3 linked regions of the Saccharomyces cerevisiae S288C genome follow. The gene in region 1 interacts genetically with each later gene. Each region holds a gene or a part of one and is shown on either strand. Other genes may lie near its edges.

The links.
Region 2: mutations in DPI8 (region 1) and DAP1 together harm fitness more than expected from each alone (negative genetic interaction), as found in Saccharomyces cerevisiae (one large-scale study listed by BioGRID).
Region 3: mutations in DPI8 (region 1) and YJR149W together harm fitness more than expected from each alone (negative genetic interaction), as found in Saccharomyces cerevisiae (one large-scale study listed by BioGRID).

The regions. Positions count from the first base shown.
Region 1 is NC_001142.9:159,028-161,918, forward strand, and holds DPI8 (Dpi8p), read right to left. Parts: upstream 821-2,891; coding exon 596-820; downstream 1-595. Other genes in the region: sphinganine kinase LCB3, read left to right, coding at 1-390; MRS3 (Fe(2+) transporter), read left to right, coding at 1,592-2,536; YJL132W (uncharacterized protein), read left to right, coding at 2,887-2,891.
Region 2 is NC_001148.4:226,777-229,438, reverse strand, and holds DAP1 (Dap1p), read right to left. Parts: upstream 1,126-2,662; coding exon 667-1,125; downstream 1-666. Other genes in the region: MEX67 (Mex67p), read left to right, coding at 1-400; OYE3 (NADPH dehydrogenase), read left to right, coding at 2,068-2,662.
Region 3 is NC_001142.9:705,350-709,021, reverse strand, and holds YJR149W (putative nitronate monooxygenase), read right to left. Parts: upstream 1,863-3,672; coding exon 648-1,862; downstream 1-647. Other genes in the region: DAN1 (Dan1p), read left to right, coding at 1-211; branched-chain-amino-acid transaminase BAT2, read right to left, coding at 2,148-3,278. UniProt on the Saccharomyces cerevisiae protein: Catalyzes the oxidation of alkyl nitronates to produce the corresponding carbonyl compounds and nitrites.

The sequences.
Region 1 (2,891 bases):
GTTGTGTCAGGTATTGAATGCTGTGATTGGTTGGGCAAAGTGTTTGGAGTCACCCTGGTGTACAATTTGGAACCTAACTGTGGCTGGCGGTTAACCTTAGCCAGGCTGCTGGTGGGCCTACCGTGCGTTGTTATCTGGAAGTACGTGATCAGCAAACCGATGATCTACACGTTATTGATCAAAGTTTTCCATCTGAAGGATGACAGAAACGTTGCGGCAAGAAAAAGACTGGAGGCCACGCACAAAGAAGGTGCAAGCAAGTACGAATGTCCATTATATATTGGAGAGCCCAAGATTGACATTCTAGGTAGATTTATTATCTATGCTGGCGTTCCATTCACCGTTGTAATGTGCAGCCCCGTCCTATTTTCCCTCTTAAATATAGCATAAAACAAAAGGAACAAAAAAAAAAAAATAGACAAAATGTAGTGTAAATGTATCCGTTTCTAAATTAAGTACTTATAAAAAAATATGTAACTGAAAAAGTCATGTTGTATAAAAATTTGAGGCACCGTACCAGGACCCCAAAAGAAGAATAGGTTAAAGTCATCATCATTAATAAACCAGGAAAGAAAAGAGCATAATTAAGATACGCCTACAACTTTGGCGCGTGAGCCAAGTGTCTTCTGGTAGCTAGTGAGGCACTCAAGGGACCATATGTCTTGGCATTTTCTCTATATTCCTTAAAAGAGTTGAACGAGTTGCCCGGAGATCTCTTGAAAATAGTGCTGGCCATGGCGCTAGCGGCTATCCTTGAGACACCCGCGGAGGCGGCTGAAGAAGAGACGGCGGCGGCTAATCTGGTACTTTGGGCGATCATTTAATACGTTTATTTACTGTCTTATGAATGTAATATTTAAACTTGTGCGTAATCATTAAAACAAAGGTGAAAAATCACATTAAACATCTCCCTACATTACTTTCGGTTTATTCTTTTATATGTGTGAAACTTTCTCTCTGCACCAGGAAGTGGTCATGCTTGATGCTCGGCTCCCACCGGAAAAACTAACTTGCGGGCGGGAAATTGATCCCTGAAGTCATGCCCCTCACCTTCATTCGTGGATCTTATCTCCAGAGCAACCAAATGTGGAAATGGCATGACACCCCCCCACACACGTTCCGCCCACTTTTTTTCAAATGTGTGACACACCCATACCCCATAATGTTGCACGTGACAGGTTTGTATCACGTGCTTCTTAGGGTTTTGTTTTAGGTCTGAGACATTTTAGGGTTTTTTTTCATCAAGTCTAGATCGTTTGTAACGAACGATTGCTCCTTTTTTCTTTTTTTTTTGCTTTTTTTTTATACTCACCGTTTACTGTCATTATGTCTCTCGAGAAACTGGGCGTGTGTGCTAACCAAGACTGGATCACCTTTACATAGCACTTATTGCATTTCTTGGTGTTTCGTACCCTACAATTGACAAAAGTAATTTTGTCGTTCATTTCTTCATCGATTCTTTCCTCTTTCAACAACTTCCTTATTTTATCTTGGGATCGTAACTTCACTTAATTAATCACGATTCCCATATTCGTTAACACCTCTTAAGGTTTGCTGTAAATATATTTATGTTATAAAAAAAGAAGATATTATGGTAGAAAACTCGTCGAGTAATAATTCAACAAGGCCAATTCCAGCAATACCTATGGATCTACCCGATTATGAGGCGCTCCCCACCCACGCGCCATTGTACCATCAACTTATAGCGGGTGCATTTGCTGGTATAATGGAACATTCAGTGATGTTCCCGATAGATGCCCTTAAGACGCGAATACAATCAGCCAACGCGAAATCGCTGTCTGCCAAGAATATGCTTTCGCAAATATCTCACATCTCTACTTCCGAAGGAACTCTAGCCCTATGGAAGGGTGTTCAGTCTGTCATACTAGGTGCGGGACCTGCGCATGCAGTGTATTTTGGTACGTATGAGTTCTGCAAAAAAAATCTTATCGATTCGAGTGATACGCAAACGCACCATCCTTTTAAGACAGCTATCAGTGGTGCCTGTGCCACCACGGCATCTGACGCATTAATGAACCCATTCGACACAATAAAACAGAGAATCCAACTCAATACCTCGGCATCAGTATGGCAAACCACAAAGCAGATTTACCAATCTGAAGGTTTGGCAGCATTTTATTATTCTTACCCAACCACCCTAGTAATGAACATCCCATTTGCAGCATTTAATTTCGTCATATATGAATCATCCACAAAATTTTTAAACCCATCAAATGAGTACAACCCCCTCATACATTGTCTGTGTGGCAGTATCAGCGGATCGACATGTGCGGCGATCACAACACCTTTAGACTGCATAAAGACAGTACTGCAGATAAGGGGCAGTCAAACAGTTTCGTTGGAAATTATGAGAAAGGCGGATACTTTTAGTAAAGCAGCCAGTGCCATATATCAAGTTTATGGCTGGAAAGGGTTTTGGAGAGGTTGGAAACCAAGGATAGTGGCAAACATGCCGGCTACTGCTATATCATGGACAGCTTATGAATGTGCAAAACATTTCCTAATGACGTATTAGTTGGTTCTTACATGTCATATTATTTTCCATTCATTTTGCATCTCAGAAGATTATGTGTATATTATCATTTTCCTGTTGTGACTTTATGTACATTTATATATACAAATTTAATTTGATAATCCCAAAGCTTGAGCTCTTTCCCTCAACGAAAAGTTTTCATTTTTTCTTCATTACTTTATATATCTATGTTTAGTATACCCAAAGGGTATTTCGGACGCAGGCAAGCTGCCATTATTTATAGCGGAAACTCTAAGAGTGGTAAATCTATTTCTAAAAAAAAAAAAGATTCATTCAAGCGCCCTCCTTGGTTAGTTAGTTAGAAACATGTATTCAGAGGGAATTAAATAAAGATGAG
Region 2 (2,662 bases), on another chromosome or scaffold:
AAGAGCGTATTCCACAGGCGCTTGGAAAACTGCATCTATTGCAATAGCACAGCCTCCACAGCAACAGGCCTCGGTCCTACCACAGGTCGCAAGCATGAACCCAAATATAACGACACCACCGCAGCCACAACCTTCAGTGGTACCAGGAGGGATGAGCATTCCCGGCGCACCCCAAGGAGCCATGGTCATGGCTCCCACTTTGCAACTACCTCCAGATGTCCAGTCGCGGCTAAATCCCGTACAACTCGAGCTGCTGAATAAACTACATTTGGAAACGAAATTGAATGCAGAATACACGTTTATGTTGGCCGAGCAAAGTAACTGGAACTATGAAGTTGCCATAAAGGGTTTTCAGAGTAGCATGAATGGCATCCCTAGAGAAGCATTTGTGCAGTTCTAATGATATTGTTCCCTGTTTCAGCCGCACAGTATCACAAAAAATATACAGTTTAAGCTACTGTTTTCGTCACGTTCCGAACAGCAGCATGCTTTGTATATTTTGTACTAATTCATAAATAAGTAATTATTTCTATACAACCGTTATATAGAAGATTTTTTCAAAATATAGATATGTATATGTATACATATATCATCGTCCACCACGCCCCTTCCTTTTTCCCTTTCCTTGGTGTTTGCTATTAATAAATAATGTGCGGAGCTCAATCGTCATACGTTCACGCCAGGCTCCGGAATCAGAGTACCAATGCATGGGTACTTATTCTCAAAATGCTCTTGCCACTCATCCAGTGCGTCAATCTGTTCTTTTGTCAGATCATCTAAGGGATCGATAGGCTGATCCCAATCTTTAATAACGTCCAGATCGAAGGAGTTCAATGCAAGACCACGCGACGCATCATGGCCTGCAAAGTTAGTGTATGGCCCGCTTGGACCGTAAAACTGCCTCCCTCTTGTGCAGTCGTATACTTTGCCCCTAATAGCAATAAATATTTTTTCATCGTCGTGGCCGTTAAATTTGGAAAGCGTCCTAGGAAAGAAATTACCCGCTACTACCGGTTCACTACCTTTATTAGAATCGTTTGTGTTTGAGGCCCCGTTACCTGTGAGCCCGGTTGGATCCTCACTTGTTTTAACACCTCCAAATAACAAGTTTTTAATGAAGGACATTTGTTCTCTATAATATTCCGATGTACGTGTGTGTGGCTGATGAGATTTAGACTGGTTAGACTATTTGACGCGTCTATTATAGCTTACTGCAACAAGAAAATGATCGTTGATATATAAACTCTCAGATGTATATATCGTTCTGGAAACATCGAGCATAATACAATACAATTCAACAAAAATGCGAGAAGGCACTGATGTCTTGTCGTTAAAGAACCAAAAACGCGGACACTACGACCGTCTTATTTCCGGTAGAAAAAGGGTACATACAGTTGAAGGAACGAAGAAAATTAAAATTAGAAAAAAAAGTAAAATAAAACAAGGAAGGTAGGGTAATATGGTCTCGTTTCCTTTGTCGCTCCGCAAATAAAGGAGCTTATTCCCGCACGCTCACATGGTAATTTGCGCCAAATCACGGATGTGGAAAACTGATCACGTGCTTCGATCGCCAACTACTGAGCGTCGTCCCACACTGATCTGGCACAGCTTACCTCGCCTTGAAAATTTTAATCTGTCCTGCTCGTTTGTTGTATATTGCTTCTTCTCAGAATATGCCCGCGATAACTGACAAAGAGGGTTCGACGTTTCAGAGATTCTACTCTTGACCACTGTTTCGTGTAGCCGCTCAAGGTTTATTTCTTTCTTCTTTAATGTTCTTGGCACTTAGGCGGCTCCGTCCTCCGTCTGAAATTGCCGATCCTATTATTTGCGGAGGGCTCCTTAGAAGGGCTCCTTAGTAAGCAGTTTGCGTTCCTGATATAACTCCGTTCAGAACAAGGATAAAGTCGCAATAACCATTACTAAGCACAGTGTTGTAAGTAGGACAACTCGAACCTATATAAGGGTTGTGAACTGTGCTTGATTCTTGCCCATCATATGCAAAAAAGTACGTACTTGATATATACAACAACTGTAGTTCAGTATAGCGAAGTTTAAATTTAGAAGATGCCATTTGTAAAAGGTTTTGAGCCGATCTCCCTAAGAGACACAAACCTTTTTGAACCAATTAAGATTGGTAACACTCAGCTTGCACATCGTGCGGTTATGCCCCCATTGACCAGAATGAGGGCCACTCACCCCGGAAATATTCCAAATAAGGAGTGGGCTGCTGTGTATTATGGTCAGCGTGCTCAAAGACCTGGTACCATGATCATCACGGAAGGTACGTTTATTTCCCCTCAAGCCGGCGGCTATGACAACGCCCCTGGGATTTGGTCTGATGAGCAGGTCGCTGAGTGGAAGAATATCTTTTTAGCCATCCATGATTGTCAGTCGTTCGCGTGGGTACAACTTTGGTCTTTAGGCTGGGCATCCTTCCCAGACGTATTGGCAAGAGACGGGTTACGCTATGACTGTGCATCTGACAGAGTGTATATGAATGCTACGTTACAAGAAAAGGCCAAAGATGCGAATAATCTCGAACATAGTTTGACTAAAGACGACATTAAACAGTATATCAAGGATTACATCCATGCGGCTAAGAATTCTATCGCGGCTGGCGCCGATGGTGTAGAAATTCATAGCGCCAATGGGTACTTGT
Region 3 (3,672 bases), 550 kb from region 1:
TTCCACTGTTGAAACTACCATAACTAGTTGTTCAAATAACGTCTGTTCAACTGTGACTAAGCCAGTCTCCTCCAAAGCTCAATCTACAGCTACTTCTGTCACATCGTCAGCATCTCGTGTTATTGACGTTACCACTAACGGTGCTAACAAGTTCAATAACGGTGTTTTCGGTGCCGCTGCTATTGCTGGTGCCGCCGCTCTATTGTTATAGTGATCATGTGCGGCCCTGTACAGTTGTATAAATGATGTAAAATAATTGAATTCTCTTAATTTTAATATTTATAAGATATATACTATAAGCGTAAGGAAATTCCAAAGAAATTTGTTTTTTAGTTTGCAGTCTTGTGCTCCAACTATTTCCGGTCCTTTTCGAATTTCATGTCAGGAGCATTCCTTATTGCAGACAGCTTAACAGAAAAAAAACTGTGAAAAAAATAAATACCTTTAGATATTAAAGCCCTAAATTGATATCAAATTTTTTCCATATTTGGATTTTGTATTCCTTAAAGCCCACATCCTGTGAACGGTTACGCTCAAATAATGGCCAAGTAACCTACGATCCAATAGCGACGTATATATATCATATAGAAAAAGGTCATCCAGAAAATTTGTGTCAATAAGTATCAGGTCTTTTATATGTATTTATATTATTTTCCGTCAATTTTCAATCTTGCGCCCATAGTTTCAATTTTCTTGTCTGTTGTGATTCCTGATTGGACATTCTGAAATCCTTGTCCAGCTAAAATAAAGTTAGCCAATTCTGGATACTTTTTTCTTACTTGCTTGAAAGCACTATACATGTAGCCATATGGAGGAAGCTCCTCACCTTGAAAATTAGCAATGACTTTTTCGATAAAAGGAGTAGAGATGGTCCTTGCAGGCTTTCCTGATATTATATTAACCATTTTAGTTGTTGTTTCTCGAGTGAAGGGGCTTGAAAAGTTTTTTGATGCATTGGATTCACTGCAACCAAGAAAAGCAGTCCCCACTTGAACAGCGTCTGCTTGCTGTGATAACATGTATGATATATCTTTGGAATCCATTATACCACCTGCTGCAATGACAAAGGGAGTAGCATGTATAAGACCTTTATTTTTCATTTCAGCAAGTTCATCAACTGTTCTTTTCACCAATTGTACAGTTGATAAGTTTTCATCATCTTTGGGGTCATTTACTAAGAAATTTCCTCTATGTCCTCCCGCTTCATAGCCTTGACACACTATGCCATTAATGCCGAGACGTGCTAACAATCGAACTTCTCTTACAGAGGTGGCAGTCACAAAAATTAGAATTCCAATTTTTTGTAAATATTCTATTGTAGATTTCGACGGATGGCCAAAATGGAAACTAATGATTTTAGGCCTAAAGCCATCTGATAGGTACTGGAAAAAATCTTGAAGAGCATTTTCTTTTTCAAATGCCTTAAAAGATACATTACCATTATCGAATTTAATCTCATTCATATCAATCGGCACATTCATAGACTTTCTGTATAGCTTCGCCCAGTTAGCTGTTTGAAGATCGGTCGGTTTATCAACGATATCATGGCAAAAAAAGTTTAGGTTGAGATTGCCCTCTAAAGATTCATCGGCTACTTGATCTCTGAATTGTGAAACCATCAGTTTAAGCTTTTCAATATCATTGACCTTTCTGAAGTCTAAGTGGGATAGGGGTAGTGAAGCTATGGCGCCCGCAATACAAGCCTTAGCGGCCATTTCAATAGTCGTGACCCCCGCCATAGGGGCCTGGATGATAGGGTATCTCAAGTTTAAACATTTTTGGAAAGATCTGCTCATATCTTCTCTTTTATCCACCGACATTACGGAAACGTCTTGAAATATTAGTTGGTTTAAAAAGTACATGAATTGTCTTGAGTTGCTTCTAAGGTATGTATGGGCCCTTTTCTATCCGCGCAAAAGATGTCCTTGATACCGATAGGCCAGCACTAGATGACAAGAAAAAAAACGAAAGGATAATTGCAGGTTTCGACATACATTTTTTATCAGATCACTGCAAAATCCAGGAATTCATATATACAATGTCAAAGGGTATGTTATATTCTGACATGACCCCTTAACTCAGTAGAAAAAACGCTCTAGTTTTATTCTTTTTAACTTTTAATTACTTTACGTAGCAATAGCGATACTTCAGTTCAAATCAGTAACAACCCTTGACCAATTGCCATGCTCAGTCTCGCCATATTGGATTCCATTAATCCATTGTGCAACTTCTTTGGCCAATGGACCGGTTTGTTCGCCGGGCAACAACGGAATATTAATTTGTTCGCCTTTCCAGCCGATTTCCTTAATGGGAGAAACAATCGCAGCAGTACCAGAACCAAAGGCTTCAAGTAGTTCACCGTTCTTGGATCTCTCAGTAACTTCGCCTATAGTGAAGTAGCGTTCACTAATGGTCCATTCACTTGGTTCGAGTCTTTCTTTAGCAAGATTTAAAATGGAATCCCTAGTAACACCTTCCAAAATGGTACCGTCTAGTGGAGCAGTAACTAGTTCCTTCTTGCCCGTTTTACTATCTTTAAACACGAAAAAAGCATTCATGGTGCCGACTTCAGTAATGTTGTTATTTGGACCAAATAGCCATAAATTTTGTTGGTAACCCCTTGAAGCAGCTTGCAATTGTGGCAGGACGCAGGGGGCGTAGTTTGCACCTAGTTTCTTGTCACCACAGCCTCCTGGCCAAGCTCTTGTGGCATAATCAGTGGCTTCCAGTCTGACCGCCTTAAATCCAGTTTTGTAATAAGGACCCACAGGGCAGCAAATGACATATAGCAAGGCTCTATCAGGCGTGGAAACCCCTAAACCGGCCGTAGTGCCGATTAATGTAGGCCTGATATATAAAGAGTAACCTTTTCCTTCAGGAACTAAGCACTTATCTTGCTGGATCAGTTTCCCAATTAGGGTAATCAACTCTTCTGGGTCGAACGTTGGCAAACAGATTCTCTGAGCAGACTTATTCATGCGCTTCATATTCATATCTGGACGAAACATTGTAATTTTGTTGTCCACCGTTCTGTAAGCCTTCATCCCTTCGAATAGCTCAAAAGCATAATGGAAAACCACCGCGGAAGGGTCTAAAGACAGATTTTGATAAGGTTTAATCTCTGGGGTACCCCACCCTTTTTCAGCTGTCCATTCCGCAGTTAACATGTGGTCCGTGAAGCTCTTGCCAAACACTAACTCACTGTTCGGTTTTGGCTTAGATGCATGTTGTGTGGTAGTTATCTTAACTTTGGAGGCGTCTAGGGGTGCCAAGGTCATATCGTTCTTAAAACTCGTGGAGATGCTTTCCCTTAAATTTCTAAAATTTTAGTAGTTAGTCTGTTTTTATTAAGGATTTCTCAAAGGAATGAATTTTTTCCCAGGAAATAGTCGAATATCTTGTAAGCTTATATTAGTTATACTGTCAGCTCATTTCGGATCTCCTCTCACTCACGTACGGCTCTTAATTTCTACCTATTATTTCCGTTTTTGTTGACAGAAAAACGGACATAGAAGAACGACACCAAAAAGAAAAAGAGTCGGATCTACAGATTAGATAACAAGAGGTGTCAGAGAGGGAAAAGAAGCTAAATTAAGTGTCACCCGAAAGCGGAAAAAGAACGCCGTTTGCAAGAATGGTTCCGGGGCCAATGGAACATTAAACTTTGGTGTA